3 linked regions of the Drosophila melanogaster genome follow. The gene in region 2 interacts genetically with the main gene of each other region. Each region holds a gene or a part of one and is shown on either strand. Other genes may lie near its edges. The genes, in order: Myd88, Toll-6 and wek.

Region 1 (8,091 bases), on a different chromosome or scaffold from region 2:
GAGCGAGGAGCTATTATTAAAACATTAAACGATTTAAACAATAAAAAAACGAAAATAAATAAAACAAAAAAAATACAAAAAATTTAAACCGATTCGAACTGTCTTGTAGATTAACCGGAACTGGTCGATAAACATTTCCACTCAATATGTACGCGAACAACTGTATGTAAATACATATACGGGGATTCACACATCAACTGCAATGTTTATTAAACATGAACGAACTAAAGGTTGTCTACATTCAACAATAAATTATTGAGCCAAACATTGAACAGTTTATTGCCGCTCAACTGGAGCTAGCTTATTTCCGATATGGATACAGTGCGTTTCATAACCATGACCGCCAAGTGCCACGTGTCGCGAAGGTCGAAGTTCGAGCGTTCGATGCCCGACATTGAGGAACATATGTATATTGCGTTTTATCCACATTCGTTGTCGCTTGACAAAAGTTGGACATAATATATGGTTGTCGATCGACTCTATATGGTTTTGAAACGCACTGTCCGGAGATACATATAATACTATATAGACTCTAGATACATTGAAAGAGACGATGTGATGATGGATGACGTATTGATAGTCTTTGCTTTATAACAAGTGAGTGTGCTTAGGTGCACATCAGGCATATGGGCACGCATTCACAGCAATCAGTAACAATCGGTAACAGCTAGGCTAGAGCTAATCACATGAGGCAACCAGCCGATGGCGGTACCGAGAACAAACAGTTTACTTATTGCTAGCAATCGTCTAAAACGGCTTGAGCAGTTTACAAAATGATAAAGCACTGCTCGCACAATGCAGCCATATGTACGTATGCGTTATATATGCTCATTACTCATTCTCAGATGGGGTCTGAGTTGCGAGAACGGCGCGCGAGATAATTAAATTAAGTAAGTCACTTATCGAACGCGTGACTAACAGTTAATTGAGCACTTCGATTAGCAGTGTCGCGTATTTAACCTCACTCAACGCAATTGCCAATTTGTCTGTTTATCAAGTCCAGAGTCATATACATAGAGCATATAGCAATATCGTGTCGTATTTGGTAGTCTGTGTGCTTTTGTGATACATTTGTGCGGATATGTGGTATTGTCTTTATTCGTTGTTGTCTTATATAAGTTAACAAGTGCGTCTAAGTATATTAAGTTAGTTGACTTGATAAGGATTAGGCTAAAGATTATCACTAGGCATGGAGGGTGACGACATTGGTGACTGGGCGGCCACAACTAGACTGGGCACACGACAAGGAATCAAAGAATCGAGAAATCGAATGAATGGCTATCCTAACACTATGATCTCAGCCCGGCGTCTGCAGCTTGCTGCTGGATCGCGAGAATAGGGCCTTCTTCAGGATGTTCGGCTGCCACTTGATGAAGCTCTTCTTGCTCTCCGACGTGGTGGAGATGTTGGAGCTGCTGGCACTGAGTGTCCTCTCGCGTTCCGTGACATTTATGGTGCTGACGGAGTGGGCATGACGCAGAGTCTTGCCGCTGGCCCCATCGCTCCGCGCCGTCTTTCCAAAGCTGTGCGTGATTCTGCGCAGGAAGCGATCCTTTTTCTTCGGCTTGTGCTCCGGCAGGGGTGAGCCGGTGTCACCGGAAACCGAAACGATTGTGGTCTCCGCCTCCGGCACTTTGCAGCTGTTGTAGTTTGGCATATCAGTGACATCCTTGTCGTTGATCTGAATCCGAATGCTGGGAGTGGTCACCCGGGGAGCCGATTCCTCCACCGGCGAGGGACTGCATAAAGAAATTTTAGAGAATGCCAAATTTATGATATGAGTGATAAAATTCCAACATGTTTTACAATTAACAGCAAAACTAATTTCGCTTCAATATAATCTTACGCCCAGATATATAATACATTTATTTCCTGTTTATAAATTTGTTTCAAATTTGATTACTCATATGCAGTGTATTACTTCCTGGGCACTTTAAAAGTCGTATGAGTTCATCTTTCTGAAACAAACGTATCTTCTTTGAATTTAGCAAAACTAAATAAAAATACCTGCTAGGCTGTTCTAAGGTTGATCGCTCGTACGCCATGTGATATTTGCTTATATATTTTGTTTACAAGCAGTTGGTATACATTTGCACATTTTATGTGAATGTTGTGAAACGATTTCGCAGCCCCTACAACCAGCAGTAGCAATAATTGAACAGTAAAATCAAAAACTTAAGCTAATAAAATGTATTCTAAAACAGCTTCTTAAATTGGGATGACTAGACTACTTCATGTATTCGTATTCAGTTTGCAAACCTCATTTATCTGTTGGCTAGCAATCTACATTATCTTGAGATTTTATACCCCTAAAAATGTATCAAGTATTTTTGGAACACATACATATACATATATCGCAGGAAGTAGCAACACTTACGTCTGCACCTGGCGCGTGGAGTAGATCGAAAAGGCATCCAGATCGTGTAGGGAACGAGCCAACTTGTCCCAGAAGTTGAACAACTTGGAGTCCCCGGCGTACTTGATGTGCGTGTAAATGCCCAGGGTCTGGGGTATGTGCATGTCCGTTTTGTACAGAATCGGTATGATCTTGCGAGTGTGATTCTCTGGGGAAAGTCAGATCGTTGAACTTGTAATGCGACTCTGGCTCTGCGATACAAATGCGTATCAGCTACTCACCAATCTGGATCTTTTGGGTGAAGTTCACGAGGTACGTGTTCTCCGGACTCCGAAGAAACTCCTCTGTGAGCACGACGATCAGGTGATTGCAGCGGGTGGCCATGAAATGGGATAGCTGGACATGCTCGAACGGAACGCCCATTAGCATGTCGCGGTGGCGCAGGAATAGCTGCAATAGAACGATCCCATGGTTATTTAATACAACACACAGCAACCGAGCGCATCCCACTCACCCTGAGATTGTATCGCTCAGACTCTAGATTATTCATGATCTCGGTGGCATGATCGATGTCTGCCTCCGCGTACAGAACACATGCGTTGTATCTGGGCAGCGGTTGGCCCATCTGTACACATCTCTGGTCCTCGTCGCTGAGGATCTGCACACTTTGGCCCACTGTGATGTTGTTGCTGCTGCTGTAGTTGTTGTTGGTCTCGAAGCAGTCGCTGGGGGGCGGCGGACACGCCTCCACGAGAGCAGTCTGTCGCTGCTCCTGTTTCATGATGAAGCGCTGGGTGTCCTTGGCTTTTGAGGAGAGCAAAATTAAAACAGTTTTACTAAAGGGATTATGATTGCTAAAAACTACAAGGCCGCACAAAAAGTTTTCTTAACACATCATTCGTAAAGTAAACAACACAATTTATACATGTTAATGTCAAAATCAAATTACTTAAATTATGTTTATTAAATAATAAATATAACCCTTTGTTGATATATAATGAGCTTAAAGGAATGGCATAGTGAAGTTTATCTGAGTTTCTGCACACAGTCGCTAATATATGAAGCTTTCATAACAAATTGGTAGTATTTATGATTTGTAACTCAATATTATGTATGAATAGATAAGTGTATGCATATATCCATTCAGATGTCTGCCATTGTCTCCCCATCTTTTTATTCCAAATATATTGTCAGCAGAAAAGATCATTCTAGTAAGAGGTAGTGAATTCTAGATTCAAGCAGTTATCATCAACGACACATTTATAAAAAATTTACTTTTTTAGTTATTTTTAGTTTTATTGGAATATTTCTAAAACACCCAATGAAAGATCATTAGAAAAGGAATTCAAACATTTCCTTTGAAAAATTCCTAATACGATTTTAATTATGTGTGCTTTTTTATACCTTAAGCATTCAACTTCCGAGTGCGTTCATTTGTTTTTAAATCGAACCATTTTGGTCACAACGAATATATCTATACAACATCTGCTCCTAAACAAAATTGACTGTTCGAGGTTTTTTATTAATGACAACAGTTTTTGCTGGGTGAATCCCCATTGTGCAAATAAATAAGAAAATTTCGTTCTTAACTGATTGGCATTTTCTATAGTTTAAGTTCTGTTGTTTGCGGCTTTTAGAAATTATTGTTTTGAATTTTTTCTTTATGGCTGTGTGTTTTTCAATTTGTCGGGATGTGGTAATAAAAATCTTGTAAGTCGAAGCGTTTTATTTGACAATAAATAGAAATAAACACAAATTAATCATGGGAAAGTGGGTGACTTTTATTTCTGTCATTACGTATCTACTCATCATAACTCAATAGTTTTATGTATCCGACGATAAGCTTTGTTTGACTTAGATAAATGTGCGATAGATAAGTTAAATATGTACGCTTTCTGCATATACTCCCTATATTATATAGATTACCACGTCCATTTTTATAAACTCGAAACGGCTTTTCCGGTCATAAAACCAAAAATGGATCAGCCAAAAATAATTGATAAGTGTGGCTCGCCATTAAAGTAAAATTTAATGGTTCATTTTCCGATTTCCAACATTTGTGTACATATCATTTGATAAGTACATTATTTAAAATTCCTCTTCAACTTCGCAAACTCGAGAACAGTCAAACATACATAGTTAGTCTAGACGTTTAACTAAATTTTCACTGTCACGATGGCATTTTGAAGTAAAAGTCGAATCGTCAGACCATCATTTAAAAGCTAATCTAAAACAAATGATACTCAAAACTCAAGTGACATAGTTTAGTTATAGATAGATAGCGACTACCATAAGTAAAAAATAGTTAATGCCTACCCAGATTCTCCTGGATATCGTCGCAGACGTCCCACCGATCGATAATGCCCAGGAAGTGTTCCAGATGGCCCACCTTGGCGGTCTGGGGACTCCGCTGGCTCCAGCTGATCAGCACCAGATCCATGGGATTGTTGGCGTTCTCGTCGACGAATCCCTTCTGCTTGGCCAGCTCCGAGATGCCGCGCCAGTCCCGCTGGTAGCCCTCCTCGGATCGCAGCACCTTCTTGCGGTTCAGCATGCGGGACAGCTGGGTGCGGGTCTCGATGCCCAGTGCGGATAATGGGGTCTCGTTGAAGTGCCCCAAGCCCGTTCCCGTGCCCGATCCCGACCCGGAGTCCATAACTCCCTCGGCCACCACCATGCCAGCGGTGCGATAACGCCGATAACTGACGTCAGTGGCGCCGTAAATGTGATGGTGATGGGGCGGATTGGGATGGCGGTGGGTATGGTGATGGAAGTGGGAGTGGGGCTGGTAGTGGGAATGGGCCACCGAGTGCTGCTGATGGCATACAAATCGAGGGCGCATTCGCACTTGGCGCTGGCTTTATTGGAATAATTGGTGTTTGTTTGCTGGCGTATTTGTTTTAGTGTGGATGCGATGTGATGCGATATATATTTATCAACTGACGTTTATCAGTCGAGAGGGCGGCGAGCAATAAAACGATGAAGCGCGTGAGTTGTGCTGCTCTGTAGATTTTTTCGAGTTTTCCGATCGCGCGTGCTTGTTTTTTTTTTGTTTTTTGCGGGCGGATGAAGCTGAAACTGGTTAGAAGGGGGTGGTGCTTTACTGCTAAACTTCTATACTTCAGTGCGGTGCGAAATGGACCGAGTGACCTCCAGCACCTTGCCGCGTCACAGTCGCGTTGTTGTTGCTGTCTCGGATTCTGTTTTTATTTATCTGTCTGCTCCGCTGCGAGAGGAGATGGAGATCTTCGCCTTCGTTTTCGTCGCGTTTTTTATTCGTCTGGCGTATGATTTTTTGAATATTGTTTAAATATACACAACACACACACTCACAATCAGTGGCGCACGCACACAGTGTCGCCCTAAGCACAGAAATAAATTCGTTTCGCTTTTTTCGAGTGCGTCCGCTCCGGTTTGTTGTTTTGTTTCGACTGGTTCTGTCCGCCGTTTGTGCTTTTGTTTCTGCCTCGTTGTCCGCTCCTCCTCCGCCTCCTCCCCAACGGACTACTCTTCGCGCTCACTCTCCCGCGCTCTTTCTCCACCGCCTTTCACTCGCTTGTTTATTTTGGTTTCGTTCCGATGCAGGGCGAAAGCGCGGGGGCCACAGGCGGAACTATCAGCTCAGCTGCTTTTTCTAGTCGGCTGACAACACTCTGTTTGCACTGGCTAATTGCTAATTAATTTATCTGCGCTGCGTTCCCACTTTTCAGATCAGATCGCGATTCCGATAAGCTCGTGGCGATCGATGGGCAAAAGCTTGGCGAGTCACAGCTTTTCGGGTGGCCAGTCATCGGCGAGGTTTGGTACTTTATCGGGGCCAGTTATCGGTTGCGGTATTTTTGGTGCGCGGGCCACACTTTAATAGGTTCCAAAAGCATTCACCAGATGGCGCTCTAAGAGTGGTTGACTTAATTTCCGGTTGGTTAAATATAATTTAGGAACGTTGGTTCTTGCCGTAGGATTCCTAATTATTCATAAGCATAATTGATAATGATTTCTTGCTAGTGCAAAAGCAAGAAGAGTAGTAAAGTGAGTAAAAACGCACTCTCCTATTCGACCGGCTGATGTAGGCAATCTAACTCCTTTCAGTTATGCAGAGAATGGTACCTTTAATGGTGCCTCAAAAAGGAATATTTTACATTTCGACCTGTCCAAGACATACTTACTCATTTTACCGAGAAATATTGCTTCCCCGAAATCAACTGATTTGAGACGATAATGTGGGGAAATGAACATGCCAACCAAGGACCACACTCTCGTAAATAATAGTCAGAGAGCACTTGTAAATTCAGTTTATTTTCATTTGATTTTGTTTGTTCTTTGTGTGGTTGATGCCTGCACCTCAACGCTTTTCATTTTCAGTTACAAATACTGAGATATACTTACTACACAGGTGACACAAATTGATTTATCGCTTTTATGGCTTTGTTTGACTTTTTCTTTCGATTCAACATTTCTTGCTTTGCTTGATGAATAAAACGCTGAAGGCGTTCAAATGTATTTTAAATATATTTGTTTTGCTTTTTCATGGTTTATTTTTGTAGTTTTCGTTTTTCGGTCGGCGTTGCGTTTTGCATTGCCAGCAACAATTAACAGTAAAAGTTGATGCCTTGCACACAAGTTGAAGTTGAAGTTACCTGCTTTTGTTTGAATTCCGTTGTTAATTTATTTAATGTTGATTTACTCGGATAAGCCCCATCATTAGTTATTAATGTACCTACTTGGTATTTACTCATTTGGTTTGTTTGTGGCTCTATTTACAATACATCTGCCTGTGTGTGGTGTGGTTTGTGTGTCTTTCTTTGTATTTCGTTCATTTTTCACTTGTAAATAATTGCTCAAACTGGATTGGGCACCAAAAGTCTCTCGTTCAAAGGCTAAAAAGTTTGATTTTTTTCTCGAGAAATAATTTCGTTATTCATTAATTTATGCTTGCTGCGTGTTTGTGTTTAACCTGTGTCATTATTCAATATTCATTGGTATTTCGCCCTAGAACGTTTCGAGTATTTCAATTACATCAATTTACTTGCTTCGATTGTAGTTGTTTGTATAATAATTCAGCTTACATTTTTACACTTAGCTAGCCATAAATATAGACATTAGTTGTGTTCTTTTAATTAGGTCTCCCCTACCTCCTTCATTCAGTTAATCTCCTTTTTACTTTCGTTAGTTTAAGCATGCAGTTAAATCAATTTTGCAAACCTAGTGGATATGCTCTGCCCCATGTGTTAAATGCAATTACTAAGTATATTGTTGTTTGATTGTATATACTAAATATCCTTTGTGACTGCCTGGCGACAAATTTGATTATTTTAGCCTCTGTTTTAGCCTGTGTGTATTTGTGGTCAAATTCGAATGGCTTTCTGGGCCAAAATGCGTATCTTACAAATCTGAATGAGGTGTGTGATTCTTTGTCCCAGATGTACTTGCATTGCATTTAACAACGACCCGCTCTAAGTAGATTAAATGTTTAAGTTTACAATTTATTGAGCTAATTTAAAGCTTTCCATTTGTTTTCGCCCTGCCCGCCATTGAAATTCCGCTTCCCTGCTCGCCAAATGGCTTAAAAACAAATAAATTCGTATACAGAGAAAACTAATTGTAAGGAAAAGCTGAAACTGTCCAACTATAAAATCACGTAATTTACCTGAAACATGTGCTCTTAAATCAGATATTTATTGCAAATAATTTAGCCAGTTTTTAGTTAAGAGTTAACCGTATCAGTTTTGAATGGA
Region 2 (5,035 bases):
CTGCGCCCGAGCACTCCACAATATTTGTGGACCAGGTTTGGTCATGGAAGCACGTGCAATTCGTGGGGCAGGTCATCTCGCAATCACAAGCATCGAACTCACAGCAATGGCAAACGGCGAAGCAATGGGTCTTGTAGGTGCACAAAAAGTGCTTGGGTTCAGCTTCGATCAGGGGAATATAGGCCCTCTCCCTGTTGTTCAGCAACTTGCAGTATATGGTCTCCAGATCCATAATCCTTGGATATTGCCTCGATGTTATATGGTTAATCTTCTGCAGCCAATCAATGTTACAATCGCAGGTGAAGGGATTTCCACCAATATAGAACTCTGGCAGAGCTCGATGTTCCCAAACTGGCAGAATCCTCAAGGACTTGATGTCCAGCGTTGTGATTTGGTTCGCATAGAGATCCACCCGGGTCAGATTGGTTTTGTGCATAAAGGTATCTGGATCAACGGTGGTTATCAGGTTGTCGTTCAGGAACAGCAGTTCGATAGAGTTTGGTATGGAACTGGGTCCAATGCGCTGAAGTTGATTAAAGCTCACATCGAGAGTTTGTAGTTTTAGCTCACTATCCAAACCAAAACGATTTGATAAGGAACTCAACCGATTCTTATGGAGGTCCAGCCACTGCAGGGTGGATGGCACATGTCCATAATCAAAGGATTCCAAACGATTATCGGATATATTCAGCCACAGAAGGGAGGGCATGTTGCTGAAGAGGCCATTGATGTCATTCAGCTCATTGCCATCCAAACGCACAGCTTGAATGCTCGAGGTCATCTCAAAGGCCCCCGGTTCCACAACTGCTATGCGGTTTCTGGCGAGATTCAGGATTTGCAAATTAGGCAGATCCCTGAAGGTGTGCATCGTAATATTCTCCAGGTAGTTGCCAATCAAGCGGAGACCATAGAGATTTCCCAGACCTTTAAACGCACTATCCTCCATAACGGTAATCATGTTCTCGCCCAGATCCACGGTTCTCAAATGGCGCATATTCCTCAGGGCCAGCGGAACTGTCTTCAGCTGATTGCCATTCAAGTTGAGGTCCTGCAGGGCACTGCAGTTCCGGAAGGCATCCGGATGCACGCCAATCAGCGCATTATTGTCCAGCGAGAGCAGCGACAGTACATACAATCCGTTCAGAGCATATGCATCCAGATACTTCAGTTTGTTGTGCGACAGCAGCAGCGTGTGCAGATTATTCATCGGGGCAAAAGTGTCGGCTGCGATGTTCTCCAGCTGATTGTGACGCAGATTAAGAATCTGCAGGGTGTACAAGTCGCTGAAGATCTCTGGCTCCAGTTTGGTCAACTTGTTGTGCGACAAATTAAGCAGAACCAGACGAATCAGACCCACAAAGGTGTTCTTATCGATCCAGGTGGAGGTTATCTGGTTCATGGACAGGTCCAGGGCCTGCAGCTGGTCCAGATTCGAGAAGAGCTGCGGATTCAGCACACTTATGGAATTATTCTGCAGGTACACCTCTTGGATAATCTTGGCTTGCTCAGCGAAGAGTTCTGTGGGCAAGGCCACGATTTTGTTGGAGCTCAGGTTCAGGATCTGCAGGTTCTTCAGTCCACTGAGAGCCTTGTCCGCAATCATGGAGATGCCATTGTTGTTGACCGAAAGGACTCGCAGCCTCCTCAGAGTGCCAAATCCATTTGCTGGCAGCACGACGAAATCATTGTGGCTCACATCCAGGTACTCCAGGTCCAGCGAACAACTGGTGCTTGAGCTACTGCTCTTTTTGGCCGATTCGGTGGTGGAGGTGGATTCGGTGGAACCATTGGTTGGCTCCTTGCTGCGATCCCTGAAGCCCAGCTCGTTGACGTCCTGCAGGCGATTCTCGCTCATGTTCAGGGCAGACAACTCGGACAGGGTGCAGAATATGTTATCCGGCAGGGACCAGATGTTGTTCGAACTGAGGTCCAGTCTCTCCAACCTCCGAGTGACCGAGAAGGCATCCGCTTCTATCTCGAAATTCAGCGCTGGCCACAGGATGTTGTGCGTCCGGAGCGTCAGGTTCCTCAGCTGCTCCAGACCATCCAGAACCTGGCGACCCAGTCGCCCCAGCTTGCAATACTGGATGGACAGCTGCTGGAGCCTAACCAGATGGGCGAAAGATTGCGCCTCCAGGCGACTCTTGGCCATGATTTCGTCATTGCACAGTATGTGCAGGGCAATCGTGTGCTCGGCGGGTATAACACTGAAATTGGTTGTGTCAAACTCGCTGTTCACCGTGCGCAGGTTGCACGTTAAGGCTATTTCCGGCTGATCCAGACCCGCTGCTGGCATGAAGTGACAGTCGTCGGGGGCGTCATACAGCGAAGGGTCACCACCCGCGCCCGCGGTCAAGGGTCGCAGGGTTCGCGCCGGAGTCGAGGGCTGCATTAGCTGCGAGTTGGAGACCCCAGCCTCACCCATTATCGCATTCGAGTGCGACAGCTGCTGCTGCTGGTGGTGCTTGGTGGACAGCGATTCCGTGGTGTGCTGCTGATCCTGGGCCAGGACCACGGGCAGTATGAGTAGCATATAGTAGATCATTTTGGCGATTCACGGTTTAGCTGCGTGGAGGCACCGGAAAATGGGTTTGCGGAGGGGGGAAAGACGGTACAAGCGGGGGTCTTGGGGAGAAACGAAAAGAAAATCAATTCCACTGGCTGGCCAAAGAAAAGTCTGCGCACATATTTTCGGCTTCTGTGCTCCCTCTACTCCAAGCCAGATTTTCTTTATTTTCCCCCGATTCTTTAGTTAATTATGCTCTCCGTGTTTTCTTCTCTCTTACACCCGGCACATTTTCTAGCACTTGGCCTTTTCTATCCTCTTTATATTTAAATTTTTCTTTTTTATTCGTTTCGGCGCTTTGAATTACTCGCTTCGAAGTTTTTGTTTATTACACGTCGCGTTATAGGAACCTTTGATGAATTTCAATTTAGCTGCGGGCTCGACTTCTATTATCACTTTTTCATTTGGCTGAACTGAACCCACTTTTTCTGGGACTTGAGCGGTGCAGCAGCGTCGATATTTTCCGGTTCGTAATGTAACGCGCACGTTGGCTGATTTTCGACTGACTGCCGCAACGTGCGCAACTTCTCTTTTAAATGGAGAGTCGTCCACGAACTCGAAACCCCGAAAATCCGAAAAGCCGAACGCGAGCCGAAGGGGGCTGGAAAACAGACGAAGAGCAGCCGACAGGCTCTGCACGGGCGGGAAATGCTGAGAGTTTTCGGAGAGTATGACTAAAGGGAAATTCGCTCTGGCTCGACGGATGCTGGAAAATGTTTTTCTTTCTCTCCATCTAATCGCATCGAACAGCTGGCGTTCGTTCGTGTTTTCCTTTTGATTTTCTCTGTCTTTTTTCGTCGTATTTCGTATATCCTTTATTTTTTTGCCGCCGAATCGGAGATAGAGCTCCGCACCCCCCGCCGCCAACCGGCGACTTCTCTGCTGTCTCTGTTTTGATAATGAAAATATATGATGTGCATGGGCCAGCGCCAATCTTCATACAAACGTAATTTATTTTTATGCCATGTGCATGTGTGTGTCGGTGTGCCGAGAAGGTCCTTCGGCTGCTTTTTGCTCCTGTTTCGTGGGCCCAGACCCGTATAAAAATAATAATTCCTCACATTCCATTAAATTACAATAATAATTTTAATTAAACTGTTTTGTTTGCGCCTCATGTAACAATTCCTGTGGTTTCATGACTTCTTTTTCGCCCAGCAAAGCAGCAAAAAACTGTCTTCCCCATCAGGTTAATGATAATGATTATGGGCCAGCATTATGGGGTTTCGTTGGGCTTTGGATGTGTGGGGATTTCTGTGGATTCCTCGTTCTCAAATCCGGAAAGTTATGCAAGGACTTGGTTAGACTCGATTGGGAGATGCTGGAAATAGCAAATATGAAAATTCGTGAGCAGAGTTTTTATAAAAAGCTCCTTTTATAGGATATCTTAAATCGCACACTGCAAATTCAGATTTTTGTAGTTACTTAAATTTTGAATTATGTTATTGTCTTTTGGACTTAAATTAATATTTCTTTGAGATTAATTACACTTGGAACATTTTACTACTTCAAATAATAAATATACAATTTTTGCTTCACGCGCCTATGATTTTGATGAATGTATTATAATCTTACCTAAAGTAGTCCTGGTATCTCGAAAAAGAAATCAATCTATCAAGGAAATTTTCCAAGGGTTAATTTACAAAGAAGACTGTCTATTGTTCCTTATTTCGTTAACCTCCGGCATGTATGTATTTTGATTGTTCAATATTTGGGTGAAAGCAGAAATATTGATGGATCACCGCCAACAAATTCAATGGCGATTACCACGGCATGGTAACCTTGATAAACTTCGGGTCTTTCATGACTAATTCCCAAGAAAAACAGCTGCCCTGGACACTTTATCTTGGGCTAATATTTCTTAGCTGGCTTGAAAGTTTTCCCATATCCATGGGTGTTGTGGCTAAGGATCTTTTTGTCGCCACTAAAAGCAAACACAAAAACATTTTTGCCAAATTGCGTCAGCCAACAGAACGCCTCCCACCCATTTTTCGTGCTGGGGTAATGATTTGCCTAATGTTTCTAACAATTATGTGGCTTGGCCACACAAAAGAATATATTATGTAAGTTATTAAAATTATATCACCAGCAGGAGCAGCAGCAGAGCCACGAACAGCAGCCAAGTCTAATAAGCCTCCTGCACAGTGAAGAAAACTATTGCAGTTCAGTCTTAATTTGAGAGATTTTCTCAGTAAGATATTCGCTAAAAATATTAGTTATTTAGGCACATGATGTTTTTCTTTTACCAATTACTCTTGTACAGGGATGTATTACTGTTTTATTCACAAGATTTTCCTTCAGTGCACCCCTTATTTTACTCACCTTCAGGCTTTCGCAGGCTCTTTCAAATGTAAATGGCGGCAAGGACGAGGTTTTGTGGCTCGCTTTCCTTTGTGTGGTGGCACATGCAACCAAGAAGGAATATTTCTTCCCCGGCCTGGTATTCTTTTTTCGGTAGTTATCAATTTGGTG
Region 3 (4,747 bases), on a different chromosome or scaffold from region 2:
TCACTTAGAACTCACAACATAGCCTACATAGACAATGCCATCACTTCTCAGCCTCAGGCTATTTTCAACTTTTCGCGCAAATGCGGCCCCGATGAGCTGAATAACCAGAAGTACGCCCTCAGTCTCGTTCCTCGCTGCAATGCGACGTTGTGCAGCTTCAAGGAGGCACTGCATACCGTCTTCAAGGTGACCAACCGGCGACCCTGGGTGTGGAACGCAAAGCTGAACATCGGCAGCAAGATCTCCATTAGCCTGCAGGGCATAATCGCCATGAAGAACCAGACGCCCGTAAAGCTGGTAAAGGTCTGGGCGGAAAAGGATGAGATAGTGATACGGGAGACTCGTCATTATATCAAAGGCACTGAGATCACCCCGCTGCCGGAGAATCTGATAACCGGTTACATGCTGGGCGGCACTCCGGTGCCATACGACGAGGCCGTGCTAGAGCCAAAGGAACCACACCCACCTGGTCTCCACTTCTTTGGCTTTATCAAAAGAAATGCCGTGCCGGATGAGTACTTTTGTGGCGAGTCCTTGTACCTCCTGGTGCATCAGAAGCACAATCAATCTGCCGCCGTGAAGCTGGACGCTCTGGTGCGTGCTCTCGTTTCTTCGGATCGGGCCATACTGTGCTGGAAAATATATAGCACCAAGTTTAATAGACCGCAAATGGTTGTGCTACTGCCCCGCTTAGCAGACGATACCCATCCGGCTACTTTGTATATGCTGGAAGTTTCCTATACGTCTCAGCACCACTTCTGGGACTTTCCGGCACTGCGAACCACCAAGACGGAGTGCAGCGAGGAACAGCTGAATGCCATTGATCAGTTAATCGATAGCACCGATCTGGAGTGCACACTGCGGGACACGCAGCAGCCACGTCCGTGGGCGCAGAATGATCTGCTGCCGTTCGACGCACTTCCCAGCATCTTTGAGCAGAATGTCATGGACATCCTAGAGCGAAAAGTTATCTATGATAACGACAAGGAAGACAAAATGCTTAAGGACAAAAACTTCGCAGATGTATTCTGGCGAGTGCCAGATCCCTTGGAGGAGAAGTCAAAGAGAGCGGCAGCCATCGTAAAGAAGCTATTTCCATTGCGCTATAGTCGCGCCTGGCAGGAAAAGCTGTTGGCCAAGGAGCAGGCAGAGAATGGTGTGGCAGTCAAGTCGGAACCAGCGGAGAAGGAAATCCCGTTGCCATCAGACGGTGTGGGCTTAATTGATCCAATCTCTGATTTCAGGCGAGTCCTGGCTAGCGTTCACACAATCAGTAATGCCACTGAGCGAGATGCCCGCTTTCAGGCGCTGGCTGCCGATACCCGCGTGGTGATCATCACACTGCTGCAGCGCAGGAAACAGAACATCGGGCAACTGGGCGAGCTCATCACCCTGTACCGACAGAGCTGTATAGACTTCAACACCTTTTTGGAATACGACAAGTTCGCTGAGGAGCTGAAGAAGATCGCGCTGGCCAAGAATCGCAGCGAATTCTGGCAAGACGTTATGGTCGACAAGCAATTGGGCCCTTTGGTGCTTGGCGAGCCGACGCTGGACGACGAATTGGCTCTAAAAGCCTATTACACCATCGAGAATTGGGTGGAGAGTGGGGCGAACGATATGGAAGACGTTGAGATGTAGTTTATCATTCCATTTTGTTATATTAAGCAAATGTGCTAAAATTAGTTTTTGTTATACACAGTTTTTCTTATATGTAAGTCGAAAATAAATTATTATATTGTTTATATATATATACCAGAGTAAAAACTCGGTCGCATGTTTTAAAAACAACATTATATCCCTGGGAAACCACATCCAAATGATGATGATAATACATCTCTATGTTAATAAACATCGACACGCAGGAAGGAAAACGTTAGTAATACTTCTTATGATTGAGAAAAAAAAGTAAAATAAATACAATTTTCAATTCCAAATTTAAACTGAATACTTTTTGAAAATGGCGGCAACAACTTGTTGTTTTGCACTTATCGATATTTCCAAAAATCATCGGAGTGCGCATACCAATTAATCGATTCGGAATTCCGCTCCATACAGCTGATTTTAATCAGCGCTTTGGCAATAGAATTTAGTCAAAACCCGAGGGCATACTGTACCAAACTGTGGGGCTTCTGTTGAGGATTAGCCATGGGAGTTCCCACAAGCGATTGGATATACTGGTGTCGCCTGTGCGCCCGCGACGACGTTGTATACAAAGTGCGCGAGCGGGACGACGATCTGGTTAGGATTATCAGCAAATGCTTTGATGTGGAGGTATGTTATTCGTTTTCCCAGCCTACAGATAGCTTATACATTAGTTTTCCACACACGCAGATGACCCTCGAGGAACCGGAACTGGGCAGCATGTTGTGCGAGGAGTGCTACTCGGTGATTGGCCAGCTGATCACCTTCTCGGATAGCGTTTCCAAAGTACAAGCCATTTTTGAGCTTCTGCGACACTCGGAGCCGCAGGATAGCCAGGACTTGGACGCCCTGCGTCTGGAATACGGCCTTCCGCCGGCCTGCAAGCAGGACCTCGAGTTCCTGGACATAGACGATACGGAGGATAGGTGTTCCTTGGTAGAGGAGCTAACGATATCAGACCATTCCACATCTCCGTCACCCGATTTTGAAGCACAGACCGTGCGAACACGAGCTAATCTCAAACAGTGTAATTCCGATCCCAAAGTGCTAGCCTCACCTACTGCATCAATTCCTGAAGTTGAAACAAAACGAAGTCGCCGACAGCAGTTTGCGGCTAAGCGAAATTCCAAAGTGTACACTGCAACCGAGTCGGATGATGAGGAGGCCATTCTAGACGAAGACGAGGCCGTATCCCCGCCGCCTTTGAAGCGAAAAAGAGGCAGACCCAAGGGCTCAGGCAAACAGAAAAACGTGGACGACAGCGATAACGTAACTTCCCGCGAACCAGACGACAATGCTAAATCCAAACAAGATGACAAGACATCCGAATTGAGCATGTCACCCCATGGCTCCCAGAGTTCGAATTTCGTCGATTATCCCTGCAAAATCTGCAACGAAACCTTTATGTCCTTCATGGCTCTGCGCAGGCACAAGCACGACATGCACGGCGGTCCGAAGAAATACGTTTGCGATCACTGCGGAAAGGGTTTGAAGACCTTCACATCGCTGGTGGAGCACCAGCTGGTTCACACGGAAGAGAAGCCCTGTATATGCCCCGTCTGCAATGCTGGTTTTAAGAACAAAGCTAGGCTGAGAGTAAGTCATCGAATAATCTTGTGGACCAACTAAATCTTGAAATTTGTATACAATTTCCAGGTGCACAGTCAGACACATGGTGAGCCCAAGTTTGAGTGCAATGTCTGCGGCAAAAAGCTGCAGACACGGGCGATTCTTAACAAGCACAAGTATGTGCACACGGATGAGCGGCGCTTCAAGTGCGAGGTTTGTGGCAGCGGCTGTAAGAACTCCACGGCCTTGAAGATCCATCTCCTTGGACACACCGGCCTCAGACCCTACGTATGCAAGTACTGCGGAAAGGCGTTCGCCAGCAACACCAACTGTCGCTCCCACAAATGGAAAAAACATCCGGAACTGGCGTCCAAGGAGGATGAAACCGAATCTTCACGTGTTCCAGTGCCAACATTGGAAGAACTGAGAGCGATGTAAGCTATAGTCATGCATATTATTATTATTAGCTTACTATTGTACTAAATTTTTGGTTTGCAGAACTCGCGAGATGGCCAAGGCCAAACAGGATTAGACCATGTTGGTTGACAAAAATGTATAAATAGCAGTGCGCAGTAAAATTTTATCCCAGAGACATTTACATTTACACTTAATTAAACACACAACTGCCCTTTTTGCATTTAAATTGGTTTTTAATAAGTTTCAAAATAAATTCACTTTTTAAACGCACACTTAAATTGGGAAATGTGTTCACACATGAAAATGACATTGTATAAAAGATAATAATTGTTTGACTCACAATGTAGATTTAAAAATAACAATTGTAATTTGTGACACCAAATTATGCGTACACTTTGAAACACTCAATTGAAACTCCTGTGAGCGGTTGCAGCATATTTTAAAGATGAGCGCTATTCATAGAACTCCCACGCATGGTTCACTAGATTGCGACAAGTTGGTCTGTAGATAATTCCAAGGGCTTATTCACAATAAAATCAGTTTGAAATTATAACTCAGCAAATGTAAATGCTTCGTGCTAACACCAGATACATTGACACCTAATTAAACACACAACGGCCCTTTTTGCATTTAAGTTGGTTTTTTTTTTAATAATTTCAAAATACATTTACAATTTAAACGCACACTTAAATTGGGGAATGAATGAATGGCATATTGATCACCTATCAATATTTTGTGCCACAACTCGGTGATAAAATAGTAAATATTAAGCGATTAAATAATAAAAATGTAACAAGAGAAAAAAATATAAGGAACAACTAAATTAATACAAATTAGATCATTTGTGAGTGGGTCTCTGTGTAGGATAAATATCTAAACATGTTTTGATTTCGATGGTTTCTCTTTAATTACTTGCTGTTTAGGTTAACACGTTGAGAAGCAAAATATTTTGGCATGGCCTTCCTCCAAACCGAGCAGAGTCAATAAATAGTGCATCCAAGTAGGTTGGCTCTCTATCCCTTCCACCTTCACTCACTCCTAGTCAATGTTCAGCGAGGACATTAACTCTTCGACGCTGCATGGAAATAGAGGAAAGAAAAAATCATGTTGATTAAAC

Evidence for each region.
Region 1: of Toll-6 (region 2) and Myd88, changing one enhances a phenotype caused by changing the other (phenotypic enhancement), as found in Drosophila melanogaster (one study listed by BioGRID).
Region 3: of Toll-6 (region 2) and wek, changing one suppresses a phenotype caused by changing the other (phenotypic suppression), as found in Drosophila melanogaster (one study listed by BioGRID).

Annotation. Positions count from the first base shown.
Region 1 is NT_033778.4:9,302,597-9,310,687, forward strand, and holds Myd88 (Myd88), read right to left. Parts: upstream 6,127-8,091; 5' UTR 5,199-6,126; coding exon 4,673-5,198; intron 3,161-4,672; coding exon 2,871-3,160; intron 2,807-2,870; coding exon 2,638-2,806; intron 2,565-2,637; coding exon 2,378-2,564; intron 1,740-2,377; coding exon 1,298-1,739; 3' UTR 227-1,297; downstream 1-226.
Region 2 is NT_037436.4:15,334,735-15,339,769, reverse strand, and holds the start of Toll-6 (Toll-6), read right to left. Parts: upstream 3,079-5,035; 5' UTR 2,546-3,078; coding exon 1-2,545.
Region 3 is NT_033779.5:15,765,633-15,770,379, reverse strand, and holds wek (weckle), read left to right. Parts: upstream 1-2,030; 5' UTR 2,031-2,148; coding exon 2,149-2,274; intron 2,275-2,334; coding exon 2,335-3,240; intron 3,241-3,300; coding exon 3,301-3,647; intron 3,648-3,711; coding exon 3,712-3,745; 3' UTR 3,746-4,247; downstream 4,248-4,747. Other genes in the region: Ku80, read left to right, coding at 9-1,641; CG3793 (uncharacterized protein), read right to left, coding at 4,669-4,705. UniProt on the Drosophila melanogaster protein: Acts as an adapter to assemble/stabilize a Toll/wek/Myd88/tube complex; required for efficient recruitment of Myd88 to Toll. Dispensable for innate immune response; plays a minimal role, if any, in the immune defense against Gram-positive bacteria and fungi.